Regions from separate parts of the Mus musculus genome. Here region 2 is reported to be linked to region 1. The links are microRNA targets in miRTarBase. Many come from high-throughput screens and were not tested one by one. Region 1 holds a microRNA gene; the other region holds the end of a gene's coding sequence.

What was found. Region 1 holds the annotated microRNA mmu-miR-471-3p (UGAAAGGUGCCAUACUAUGUAU, at 3,699-3,720, shown strand). A microRNA usually pairs through its seed, bases 2 to 8, with sites in the 3' UTR of a target mRNA and lowers its output. Matches are read on the target gene's strand: a 7mer-m8 pairs with bases 2 to 8, a 7mer-A1 pairs with bases 2 to 7 and ends in A, and an 8mer does both.
Region 2: the mRNA of Lmx1a is a reported target of mmu-miR-471-3p. Seed matches in the 3' UTR shown: 8mer at 1,490-1,497.

The regions. Positions count from the first base shown.
Region 1 is chrX:66,789,195-66,796,318 of GRCm38, reverse strand. Mir471 (microRNA 471) reads left to right here and starts at 3,658; the gene lies at 3,658-3,724. It overlaps Mir883b (microRNA 883b), which reads left to right and starts at 6,352; the gene lies at 6,352-6,429.
Region 2 is chr1:167,845,713-167,852,832 of GRCm38, forward strand. It overlaps Lmx1a (LIM homeobox transcription factor 1 alpha), which reads left to right. Exons shown (of 8, transcript NM_033652.5): 8 at 889-3,021. The coding sequence ends at 1,049. Among named protein-coding and RNA genes, the nearest start is that of Lmx1a, 160 kb to the left of the region's middle.

The sequences.
Region 1 (7,124 bases):
TTTGTATTTTCTCTTTTGAAATTTTAAGTTTTTGAATTAAAATATAATTCTGACTCACTTTCCTTCCCACCCTCCACTCTCCCATATGGCCCCCTTTCTCTCTCTCTCTCTCTCTCTCTCTCTCTCTCTCTCTCTCTCTCTCTGTGTGTGTGTGTGTGTGTGTGTGTGTGTGTACACGTGTGCACATAAATATGTGAGTATGTATATAATATGGTAGACTACTTGGTATTAAATAACTAATTTGCTGGCTTATCCCTGTGAAAAGCTACTTTTTCCACTCAGCATTGCTTAAGTGTTTGCAGATTAGTTTTACATGCATGCATACATACATACATACATACATACATACATACATACATACATACATACTGCATACATTTATTTATTTGTCTAGGGGTTATGGCTCAAGAAACCAAATGAGTTTGATCACCTCTAGGTAGTAATGGTATAATGACTAACTATTGCTCTCAGCTTGACTGATTTTTTGGAATCAGCTAATAGATGAGCCACAGGCAACAGGGTCAGATTATTTCAAATGAGAAGAGCCACCCTAAATAACAGACAGTGCCTCCAATAGCATCCTACCTAGATAAAAGTGATAGAATAGAAAAAGTTGTTGGTTTTATTTTTTTTTTTTTTACTTTGTGAGATTATTATATAATTATATCCTGTTCTTCCCTACAAACTTTCCATATTCCTTCTTGCTCTTTCCAAATTTACAGTGTCCTTTTTCATTAATTGTTACAAACTATTCCCTCTGCTATATGTAACCCCTCTGGCTAAAGAGGTTATAGTTTGGTTATCATTATTCACTGGCTAATATCCACGTAGAAGTAAATGCTTACCATATGTTTCTATCTGGGTCTTTTTAAAACTCTCATAGGATGATTATTTTTCTAGCTCCATCTATTTCCCAGCAAGTCTCATGATGTCATTCTTAACAGGTAATACGTCATTGTTTAAATGTACCACAGGCTTTTTATTCAGTTTGAGGGACACTTAAAAAATTGGATTGTTTTCAATTTTTGGCTATTATGAATAGATCGGCAATGAGCAGGGTTAAGCATTTGTCCTTGTGGTAGGATGAAGATCCTTTAGGTATATGCCCAAAAGAAGTATAGCTGGATCTTAAGATATATCAGTTCCCAACTTTCTGAGGAACCACCATATTTTCTATTTTTGATGTACAAGTTTGCAGTCCCATTAGCAATGGAGGAGTGTTTCCTTTGCCCCACATCTTCTCTATCACGTTGTCACATGTTGATATTTAGCCATTTTGACAGGTGTAAAATGGAATATCAAAGTAGTTTTTATTTGAATTTTCCTGATGGCTAAAGATTTTGCACATTTATTTATTTTGGTGTTTCTCATTCATTTGAGTTTCTGTTATTGTGAATTTTCTGTTTAGACCTATACCCTATTTTTAATTGGATTTTTATATGTAATTTTAAATTCCTTATATATCTTGCATATTAGTCTTCTGTCAGATAATGCAGTTTGTAAAAATCTTTTCTTATTCTCTAGGCTGCCACTGGGGTGGAGAGATGACTCAGAGGTTAAGAATTTGGCATCACTTCAGAGTTATAAAAAATACATGGATTTTCAGGTATTGTGCTGTGATAGATGATAGATGATGTGATAGATGTCACAGAAATTGCTAAGTAATGAAAAATGTATACATTTAAGATACTGAAAATAAAAATTTAAATGTACAAGTTTATTTTTTCTCCTTGTTTCTGTGTCTCTGAGTTAATGTAAGCCTCCCCCACTGCAGTTTGTAGATACAACTTTTTGGTGATGTCATTGTAGGTACATTACCCCTAAACTCAGGTGCTTTGGTCCTAAGAGTGCTTAGTCAGATACTTTATGAGAGATGCTCTATCACTCAGTATTACCCTAGCATGAATACTTTTCCATTAGAGGAATAAAAAGAAATAGAGGACATGAGAGAACTTGTTCATACAAGAAAATATGGTACAAATCTTATTCTCTTCTTTGGCAATCCTTATTCCCTTTAAGAAAAGCGTCAGCTCTCATTTTTGAGAAATGCAAAGAGAAATTAAACAGTTTGGATAGCATGATCTTCATAACTCTTAATAGTTTAGGTATTGTCGTAAATTGGCAATTTGATAAAATTTGAGAGGGATAATGAAGCTTTTGCTAAGTTATTGCTAAAATTGGTTAAATAACATTTTGGAGTTAGTCTCATGCTGAATACTGGGACTACATTTGACTAGGTTCTCTCTGGGTTATTAAAATTCATCATGTTTCTCACTTGATTTATAGTCTTAAATAGCAGTGACTTTTCACTTCAAGTAACATTGAGGTCACTTTTATATTAGTAGGTGAGTTAGGGTTACTTGATATATTTTGTATTGTCAATTTACCTTGCAAATGTACATAGATGAAGAAGCACAAAAGAATGAGCTCCTCCTACATGGGATCTAAATAAAACCATGTAGAAGAAGGGAAAAGGGAAAAGGTAGTATAATTTCCTTTCCTGAGAATATTAAAGAAATTTACTAGTATTATATCATGTTACTATGGGAGAATTCATACATGTCTTCATACATGTCTTTGGGGATTATGGAAATTATCTGAGAAATGCTTTCTTTACATAAAAAGTTGTGGAATGAGTTGGAAATGACTAACATGCTTAAAGTATATTCTTTGAAAACAAATTTTTAAATAAAAACTTAAAGAATAAAAACAGAAAGAACTTTCAGTGACTCCATAATCTGAAAAAGAAAATGGCAACAAGCTTACTCAAAGCGGTTTGTTGACACAAAATGAATGTGAGAGGGATCCCTTTGAACATGTATGGTAAAAGGTATTGTCTACTATATTCACTAAGACTTGTGAATATGTTAGGTCATGTTGCAAGTCCCCTATACTTGAACATATATGTTGAAAGCTCAAGATGAAGTTAAGTTTCTTATGGGCTGTATTTTATTCACCTTGGTGTTTATCAAGTGAATGACTATGAAAACCACCATGGTGGTTAAAGTAAAGTTCATAATGTTCTTCATATTGGTTAGAATATGTAACAGCAGTTATCCTTCACATGCCTTTCTGAGACATGTTGGAAATAAGTGCCTCCAGAAAGTGTATTCCCAGGTAGGCCTTAATTTTATAATGGTCACATCGTAAGTGCAACACTTCATTCTACAAGTCCTATATTCTGCATTATTCAGAAGTCACTCTTCCATGTCTAGCATGCTCCAAATACAATTTTGCAGGCGTACCATGTAGACTTTGTGGTGTACATGTACACAAACCAACAGTATGTTACTTTATGATAGAATGCTCTGTAGTCACTGTCATAGCAGACATATTTAAGATGTGTTCATGACATAATCTTTATTTTTAATTTGTGGGTTACAGGCAAAAAGTATCAAGAACCTAAAGGAGTGTACTAAAATAAGGAAGAAAAATTAGGAATCAGCTTAATATCTTAGAAATGAGAACAATTCTCATAAACAGAAGGTAAGATAGGAAGGACATGATCTTATAAGAATGTGTACTATTTTACAATAAATATTATATTCTAAGATTGAAGAATAAATTAGACAATGATTCAGGTAACATATTATGAGTGGTAGAGTAAATGATAGAGGCCTCATTTGCAATACGTTTATATGAAGAATATTGTGAGCAGTGCTTTACGTAGTATAGTGCTTTTCACATTAAACAAAAAGTGAAAGGTGCCATACTATGTATAGGAAGGCTTACCATGTTCCTCAATTGTTGTTGCTTTATACCATCAACATGGTTTGAGTGTATACCTTTACAATGGTTTTCTGGTTCTAGTTTTCTTCATCTAGGTTTTGTTTCCTGAGGATAATTTCATTTCTCCAATATCCCCTTGAGGAACAACATATGGATTTACAAACATAAAAATCTAGAAGACACATTTCACTTTAATGTCAACAAATAACATTAATATGATGTTATTGGTTTTGTTTTTGGCAGTCATCCTAGTAAATAGGAGGTTACTATAAATATGTAGGAAATACAATAGAAAGGGCAATTGAGTTTTATTTCATAGGAGCTATCAGTACATATGATTATAGAGTTCAAGATTATAAAGATTGTGAGGTCATAAAATATCTGGGGTAGATTTTGTTGATTTTTCACTTTCTTCTGACAGATGTGACTAGTTTGTTCTTCTGTAGCAGGCTCTAAACCTGAGTAAGACTTCCAATTGTTCCTTTACCTTGGCAGCTTGCATTGAAACTTCTGATATCATGAAAGCCAGTCCTCAGAGAAAAAGTCTAGGCCAATATCATCTTTATTCTTCCAAATCCTGTTTCTGAAATGTGAGGTGCCTTCTAGAATAGGGTTTTACTTTGAACTTTGGGAGGAAACCAGTTGTCTATTGGTTTGTTGGTCTCTTGGATCTGACCTGTTAATAAAGTCAAGCTAAGAAAAACTAAATTGGCACAAGGACAATTAAACAAGGCAAAAGACATGACCATGGTTATAATTCCAGAAAGGAAAACATGATCAAGCTTTTGTTCTTGGTATTGACAAGCATTCATCTGAAGATTGTACAGGTAAAAAAACCTGCTTTCAGAAAGATGAATGGTGTAGGGATATGAGTTTATTATTCTCTAGAACTTACAATTAAATCAAATCAAGGTATAAATATCTTGTTTTACAAATAATGATGGGATATCTGAAGGCAACGATTTTAATAATGAAGTTTCTGCAATTTAACATGAAGTTTCACATCAATGGCATTCCATCTATGTTGGATTCCTTCATGAGAAATAGATGTAAGTACTTCTTCTCTAGATGAAAAAAATGCTCACCATATTCCTCATGAACTTATTGTAGCATCTTGAAGGTAAAAATATAATTCTTGGATTTATATTTAACTGGGCAGTTGGATTATATTTAGTGTTTTCTCAGTTTAGCTCATCTTGCCTCAGCGACTATATGAAATTCAGTCGTGAAGATACTTGATGAATGATTCTTCAATGAGTTCATGTTTCCTCTGGGAACAGCCTATGATCTCAGGAACAAGAATCTGCACCTAGACGCCAGTTGCTAGGCATAAAGTTTCATGTGGCCTATTACTTCAAGAGACAAGAATGGTAGAATATGCCAGTGGTACAGTGTAAGCTACCTGGCATTTAGTTTCTCATGCCTCTAACCTCAGTATGGTTCTAACGAGTAAAAAACACCAAATGTCTGTCTTCATGTGATCCCTGAAACCCGAGGCAGGGATTACCTTCATGCACACGTACATAATTTAGACCATACTTACCACTTGGGAATGGGCACCTAACTGATCAGGGGACTTATCCTTAAAAAAATACTAGCTCTCCCTTAGCAGCCTGAACTAGATATGGGAATTATGGACCCTTCCTCAATCAGTCTTTTGCAAATCTTGTACGAGCAACCATTAACTGTTGAAAGTGTGTTGGTGAAACAGCCTTATCATGTACAAAAGACAGTAGTTTACACTTTGACAAGTTGTGATTCTTTATAAAATAGCCTTTTGTCTTATTTAAAAAACAAAAACAAAAAACTTTTGCTGGGCAGTGCATGCCTTTAATCCCAGCATTTGGGGGCTGGTTGGGGGGTGGGCAGAGGCAGGCATATTTCTGAGTTTGAGGCTAGCCTGGCCTACAGAGTGAGTTCCAGTATAGCCCATGCTACACAGAGAAACCCTATCGAGAGAGACAGAGACAAAGAGAAAACAACTTTTCATCAGAACTGTGAGTTGCACTAATCAGTGAGTATAAGCTAAGCACATATAATGTAAAAAACCAAAATGAAATCAATCTCATCTCTCTGGTTTTGACAAAAATTCAGTGGAACAAGTGTTAAAGGAAATGCTTAGAGGAAAAAATATGGAGTGGTTGAATCTTAGGGTCTTCGGAATATCTTTGTAACTTACAGGTATTGTAATACATTGTGCTTGTAAGATTTTAAGTGACTATAACAAATACCTATCTCCTTCAAGTCAAGAAGACTATATTCCTCACTTGATCTGTCTTTGGGATAGTGATGATTTCATTTCTGTAGGTAATGTTGAAATCGTTTTTTCCATATGTAAACCTTTTGTATCTAATGACCTAGGTAGTCTTTGTGTTTTCAGTTATTCATATCATGAGAATATAAAGTATAAACTATATTATATCAATGTAATGTAATAAAAAGTCATGTGAATGGTTTATAAATCACTTGCTTCAGAAAGCTAAATGGAGGTAAAGAAGATTATAATTGCTCTTATCTTAATTGTGAAGAAAGAAATTTATTATATATGTATACTTGATAGTCCAAAAAATTGTAATATCTTTTAATTCTTTCAGACTTAATTTCCTCACTCAATATTCTGTGTGCAATGCATTACTGAGAATGGGTAGCAGTCACTTTGTACTATGAGTAACTGCAACATCTCTCAGTATTGTAAGGTTCAACAAATACAAGGGTGGTAGCCACATGGACATAGTCTTCACACAGTGGATGAGTTTCTTGATTTCAAGATACATTGCAGTCACTTTAAAACAGACATCCCCATGATAGATTTGTTGTTGCTTTCATAATTTTAATTCTAGTGTTATATGAATATGAAACATCTTAAGATATATTAATATGGAAAATAATAACATAATAATGAGTTTGAAGTCTTGGAAGTAGGGAATGCTATGAGAAGAATGTGTAGTGAAGAACAGTAATTAGTTACTCTCTGAGTCTCAGGAAATAAGATTAGAATGTGTTTTTAATTTAATTTATGTTATAGTGATAAAGTATCCTGACAAAAAAGAAATTTAGCAGGGAAAGGATTTATCTCAGCTCATGATTCTAGGTTCTAGTTAACCTTTCTGGAGAATTCAAGGCAAGAACTCAAGGACTTTGTCATATCACATCCACAGTCAAGAACAAAGAATAAATACATCCTTGCTTGCTTAATAGTCAGATAGTTTCTATCCCTTTTTGAAAAATTCCTTTATTTACTTTTATTTTATGAATATTTATGTTCCTGCATATATTTATATGTATCACGGGCATGATGGTGGCTTCAGAAGCTAGAAGAAATGTTGAATCTCTTAAATCTTAAGTTGTAGGCAGTAGCAAACTACCTAGTATAGATGCTAGGTACCAAAACTGTG
Region 2 (7,120 bases), not on the chromosome of region 1:
TTCAGCAAACACTTAACCATGGTGTTTGTGGACCCTCACTTCCCAACCTCAAGAACACGTACACTCTAGGTTTTTATGTGTGTCTCCCAGTGATGCCCATCCATTTCCTCTTTAGAAGACACATATAACACTCAAAACATATTCTCTGTCACATGGGAGACCAGGGAAGATGTGATTTTGTTGTTCATTTTGCAAATCCTTATGTCAATGACTTTAGCAAAATGAACAATTGAAGCTCAATGATAAGTTTTAGGTACTTGCTTCTGCCTCTCCAGTTGAACTGAAGTGCAGGTATACCCTGCCATGCCGCCCAGGTTGCAAGTTTTTGATTGGTACCTCAGCTGTGTTATAGTGTGACCCCCTGGTCCTTCTCTCCAGGGTGCAGTTGAGGCCAGGTACCTAACTTCCTTTGTTGTGAGGCAGAAATCTGGGGAGACAGAGAAACATTGGTACATCTCTGCTACTGGAAATGACCAATGTTACCAGCAAGATCAGAACTTCACTTGAAGAATCCATGTTCATTTCTTACCATCTGTCCTTGAGGAGCCCTTTGTGAGGCTGAGGACATTCAGAATCCCTGTCTATGTCCCTCCAGCCTTTGGAGATGAGTTCTGCCTACCCCGTGTTTACTGTGTAGATACCCTCACTGTGCATACCTTCACTCATGTGGCTTAATGTTTCCCAACTTTGGACAAGAGCTCTCTATGAGACCCCTAGCATCGTAACCTTTACATTGTTGTGTCTAGTTGTTCCCACCCCATAGCGCATACTTAGTAGGTCCTCATCCCTGGGATGTGTTCAAACACTTGTTGAGGTCAGCTAATTTCCTAGCATACAAGGGTGTTACTTCTTCCAGACCCTCATTGCCATGTTCCATCTTCATTTCAGGTGCTGAACCTCTTTTCCATGACTTGGATAGTGATGACACATCTCTCAGTAACCTGGGAGACTGCTTCCTGGCAACCTCAGAAGCTGGGCCCCTGCAGTCCAGAGTGGGAAACCCCATTGACCATCTGTACTCCATGCAGAATTCCTATTTCACCTCTTGAGTCTTCTCCTACAATTTTGTGACCTGGGCTCCCATATGGAACAACCATACTGTGTGAAGGGTTGCTGACTTTAGGATGGGGAGGCCAGAGAAGAGGTGGGCTGGGGAGGGAGGTTTGTTGGGGATGCTGTTGTTTAATTATATGGTGTAGCTCAGCATTTCCAAAGACTGAATACATTATGGATTGCATAGTTTAATGTTTCTAATAAGAGTCTTAGTGTTAGATATGAAGATGTGTTTATCATTAAGGGCAGGGTCTTTTAATATAGACATTCTCAAGCAAACTAGATATCTAGGGACTCCTAACAGCTTCCCACCGTTCTGGAGAAGTGCTTGTCAAGAGGTGCCGTATGTCTATTCATCTACACACCAATAGACAGACAGATTTGTGTGTGTGTGTGTGTGTGTGTGTGTGTGTGTGTGTGTATGAGTGTGTGTAAAACCTTTCATACTTTATCATCAAAGTTTATTCCTAATTATAACAGACACCAACTGTACAGCAAAAGTAACTTTATTTTCAGTGTGAACTATATTTAAGGAAATGCTTGATGCACTTAAGTTATAAAATGAGATAATTTACTTTTATAAACTTTATTTTTAGTTTGGAGAGACTCATCGGCAGGGCAGAGAGAACTGTTCCACCGGGCCCCACAGCTCTGAGTGCTTGAGTTCACTCTGTGATCAGAGCATCATTGAGGTCTAGAATACAACTCCAGATGGCAGGCAGCATGCTATAGTGAACTCATGCTCACCCTGGTGTCCAGTCACTGGGCCTGAATGAGATTTTAGGCTTATTGGCATGGGATTGTTGGGCAGCATCAGCAAGGTTGTCCTTACCCCCACCCCCACCCCAGATTCAGCCTCGATGAGTGTGGATGAAGTTGATAGCCACACCTACCTCTCTCTCTATGAGTGTGGATGAGGTGGTTGCCACACCTACCTCCCTGGGGACAATAAGGCTCCATACCAGGACATGATCGAAGTTGAAACTAAAATAAATCTGATATGATTTAAAATATAACCGAGTCATGTACCTGATGATAGAGGATACCTGGGACCACAGAGCAGGAAGTTCTGGTACCCTAAGTCCTATCTCTCTGCATAGCCCATATGGCCACATGACAGAGACACAGCTCTGAGGGGGTGGAGACTACGCTCCATCTGAGAAGGTGGAAGAGGCGTGGTGGATGGAATTCTAGAACAAGTGTTGACTTGCACATCTGTTGTTTTTTTTTTTTTTGTTTTGTTTTGTTTTGTTCTTACTTTTTAAAAAGTCACTTCAACGTGACTGTATGCACCCCCAAAAGCCGGAATTACTTGTGATCTCTGTTTGTCTCTTTCTTGAGGGCCCATAATCTGGGGGCCTGCTCATAAACAGCCTCATGGAGTTCATAGAAGCAGAGGGGACCAGGCAGGTACCCAGGGCTCTTCCCTCCAACTCATGTTGCAGTCCCTGAGCACAGGAAGACCCAGTAGCCATTGTACACAGGGACAATCCCGTGCCCTGAACTCCATTGTATACAGGGACAGTTCCATGCCCTGATCTCCAATTACGGTGCTAGAGTGGGATCTTCTGTGTTAGGATCCTTCTGGGGAAGCAGAATGAGTGTAGGGGGAAGAAAGAAGGGCTCCAGTGAGAGGGGCTGTGACAGGCATGACGTCATGCCCGGGACCATCATCAGAGCCATGACTATGCCCACATATCCACTTCATTCTCTTTAAGGCCAGAGGAAGCATGTCCCTTAGTGGTAGAGTGTGTGTTGTGTGATTTTTGTGCTCTTCTTTATAATTTATACAAACCGTCAGGAAACCTGAACCAGTCTGTGGGCTGAGAATGAGGCGGGTGTAGGGGGCACAGACAGTGTCTGTGTGGCTGATTGGTTGAGGAATGTAGCAGATATGTGAATGAAAGCAAACAGAGATCCTTAATTCTACTCTCTAATGACATACCGAGATGAAATTAAAAGCCTCTTACAAATGAGCCTTTGTTTATTTGGGGGAATATGGTGGGCGGGGGGCTGGGGTGGGAGGCATGGAAGTTTCTCCCAAGGAGGTTTGAGTTTCTTTTGCAGAGGCACTGGGATGTGCTTGTGGTGAAACTTTAACTAGAGTCAAGCCTAAAGGGAAGGGGTTCTGCAACCTCTTGCTAAGATGGATAAGGTCCTAAAGCCTCCCCCTTGGAGGTTCTAGAAACCGTCCACCCTTGTCGTAGAGTTCCCTCATTGGCTTTGGATCATCACGGGGGCATTCTAAAGAAGCAGTATTTCTCGTGTAGGGTTCGAGACAAATGCCTGCCAGGATGGCAGAGCAGAGCAGCAGCCCACCAATATGGTTCCCTGAAAGAGTCTCCCAGAGTTCTCAGCCATTTAGAGATTTCACTAACATGGAGGAGAGTTTGGGCTAAAAGATGTCTTGCTCTAGTGTTCTGAGGAGTCTTTGCTCATGGCTCCCAAGCATTCCCTGGGGACTGGCTATCTCTGACCCATGTTCTCTCCTTCCAACTCTGAGCAGACAGACCTGGTCATATCCAAATTCCACCTTGTTAAGTGCTGTTTGGCCCTTGAACAAGGTACTTCACCCTGCTGATCTGATTCCTTATAGAGTGACAGAGATGATACTTGTCACCATCGTCTGGGTGAAGGGGACAGTGAGTATGGCCTACAAAGCACTGTGCCTGTCAACGGCAACAAGCTAAGGAGTGGGTTGACTGGCCTCAGGACCTGATCAATGATGAATGACCTATGGAAGTCTCAGGCTATCTTTGAAGAAATGGAGAGGATGCTGGCCTGTCTGAGCCGAAGGCAGTCTTCTATAGCTCTCACCAGATGGGTATTTTTTAAATCTCAATGAAAGCATCACTTAATCCAAGGCAGACATGTAGGGTGTGGCTCCTGTTGTGCAGAAGACATATAGAAAATAATTCCACTTTTGAAAACATGTCAACAAACCCCCTGACAAAGCACATAGAAGGAGTTCTCAGAGCATAGGACATTTCTCCTGACATCTCCAGGAATCTACATGGGAAGTGGGAGAAGTGAAACTAGGATCAGAGTGGAGAAGCAACAGGCTGCCTAGGAGAAATGAATTGATTTAATGCCTAGCAAAGTGGGAAGGAAGTAGAATTAGCCTTTCAGCTCCAAAATCAAAAACAAAATAAAGTCCAACTGAAGGGCATGTAAAATCTCTCTGTCTCTGCATCTCAGTGTCTCTTTGTCTGTCTGTCTCTCTGACTCTCTCTCAAAATACACAGTAAGATGAAATACCAAAGTTTAACTTCAATAAAATAGTCCTACCAAGAGTCACAGTTGAATCAAAACCAAATTGACACATTCTTTCCCTAACTCTTACTTATAGTTATTATTTCAATGACAGGAGAGGAAGAATCATTGTTAGCATTCAAGAGAAGGTCTTGAGGTTTTTATTCTTGAATTCTCTCTCTCTCTCTCTCTCTCTCTCTCTCTCTCTCTCTCTCCCTCCCTCTCTCTCTCTCTCTCTCTCTCCCTCCCTCTCTCTCTCTCTCTCTCTCTCTCTCTCACACACACACACACACACAGAAAAGTTTGTGTTGCACAGAGACACCCTTGTCTTGAATCCAAGCTGGGCTCTCAGATTTCATCTCTTCATCAGTTAAGCATGGCCATTGACAGTTGTCTGCACGTGACAAACAAAATCAATAAGCAAAAACAAGGTTTGTGGGCTCTGTCACGTTGTAGATATTAGAGAGCTCCCAGTATTCAGTTCTGCGGGCACAGATGAGTCAGCCACGGCGGAGCATCATCTCTGCGAACAGTTCTTCTGTGCACTGTGAAGGCTCAACTTGCTGCTCTCCATCCTTCTCTAAGGACGGGCTGTCTCGGAGAAGGACAGATATACTGGGTCAGGGTGGAAGTGACCTCTGTCCTCTCCCAGCAGCTGCAGTCCCTGAAGCTACTGCCTGATGGACCTCTCTCTTGTCCCTTCAGGGCAGAATTCTGAAAGATTGTGGGGGTGACAATATCTTTCAGAATAGCATGTGATGCATCAACTGGTCTCTTGGTGCCACACAAATGCTTAAGGTGAGAAGGGCCTATCTGGATAGTTGTACAGATTAGCAACTTATCTAAAACACTTATTGCCTCTTCCTTTATTTATTTGGTCCTTTCACAAAATTAAGTGATTCATTCACCAGTATTTGTAAGGACCAGGAATGTGCTTTGTTCTGAGATAGGTAAACAGACAAACAAACAAAAACAAACCAGATGTCAGGAGAAAGAGGTAAAGTTCCTGCCTGATTAGAAATGGCAATTTATACGGAGAAAGCTGTCAGTCCAAGTCTAATCAATTGAGGTTGCAAAATTCAACAGTAACAGAGAAGATTTGCCTCCTGCATGGTTAACAGCTGTAGGTAGAAAGAATCCCAGGGGTTCTCTGGTCTGTATTATGTGCAAAAACGTCCTTGGAATCAAAGGAAAGGGGCCACTGTCAATCAACACATGTTTATTAAGTCTGGCCACGGGCATTTGCTGCATTCAGTCAGTACAGCCTATCTCTGATAACATCACTCTGATAGCCCTTGGGGAGTTGACCTTCCTCAGTTGTGTGTAGTCTTGGAGGACTTCAAGTCAAGGTGGCCTGGTCCACAGTCACTTAGGGACAGGTGTCACATAGCCAGTGATCAGCCCACCAACCTCTCTAGACATCAGTGGAGCAAGACCAATCAGGACACCCATTGGGATCTGGTTCCTTTCTGGAGATTTCCCCAACAGGATGGTCCAAATAGAGGGAGCTTGGAGCCAAGTGTGGGTAGAATTTGGATATAGAGAGGGGGAGAGGGAGGACATCTAGAACAAATGGCCTCATATAGGTAAGATGGTACAAAGGGCCAAATGCATAATATGTGTAATATATGGGGTACTATGGTTGGAGTGGAGGGCAGAATATGGAGAAACTGAGGTCCTGAGTCAATCAGGGTAGAAATGCTGGAGTGACACAGCTAGTTATGTCCTAATATATACCAAAGATATCTTCCTCAATGTATGTCAAAGAGCACTAGACATCCCACATAATTGACTGTACTCTGATGTAGCACTCTACATGTCTAGCGGGCATAAGGGGACTTGGGATAAAGCTCATATTTCTTGGGCTCCGTTGCAGGCTACATTCCTGTAATGAGATACAACGAAGATACAGTGACATTTTAAAACCATCTTCCCTAAAGATGACTGGCATGTGCCTTTCCCCTCATTGGTGTTACTTCCTCTTTGTGTGGGATGAAGAGGTGATAGCGAAGCTGGAATGGCCCAGTGAGATTACAGCAGCCATGTAGAAGGAAGCAGCTTGGGTCTCAAGGAAGTCTGGAAGCCACTTGGTCACTGCATTCCTGAGATATCATGACCCAGAAGAGAAATAAACAGTTTGATTTATTAACTTGCTGGGGGTTTTTTTTGTGCTTCTTTGATATATAACCAATCCTAACCATGTCTGTATGTGTATGTTATTTACATATGTATGTAGGTACATGTGTGGATGCACAAGTATGTTTCTGTTGAGATCAAATGATAATAACAGGAGTCTTTCTCAGTTTCTCTCTCATTTTTAAAAGGTTTATATTTATCTTATTATTTTTTAAATGTGTGTTCATGAGTGCCTCCACTTGTATTGTGCCATGTGCTACATGTGCCCTTGTAGGCTAGAAATGTTGTCAGGTCCCTTGGAAATGGAGGTACAGATAATTGTAAGCATGGGTGCTGGAAGAGCATCAAGTGCCCTCAGATGCGCCGTCTGTACAGCCTCTCCAACTTAGTTTTGAGACTGAGTCTTTCACTGAACCTGGAACTCATTTATTTGGCTAGGCTAACTGGCCAGCCAATGAGCTTCAGGATTTTGTCTAACTCCAGCTACTCAGCCTGGGATTACTGGTGTAGATACTTGGCATTTTATGTGTGTGTTGGGGATGCAAAGTCAGGCACGCCTGCATGTGTGGGAAGGTCTTTTCATATGAGCCACCTTGCCAGCCTATTTTGTTCCCCTTCTGCTGCCGATACAAAGAATGAGTGCTCCAAATATTGTGTTCCTAGAGAATGGGAGACATGT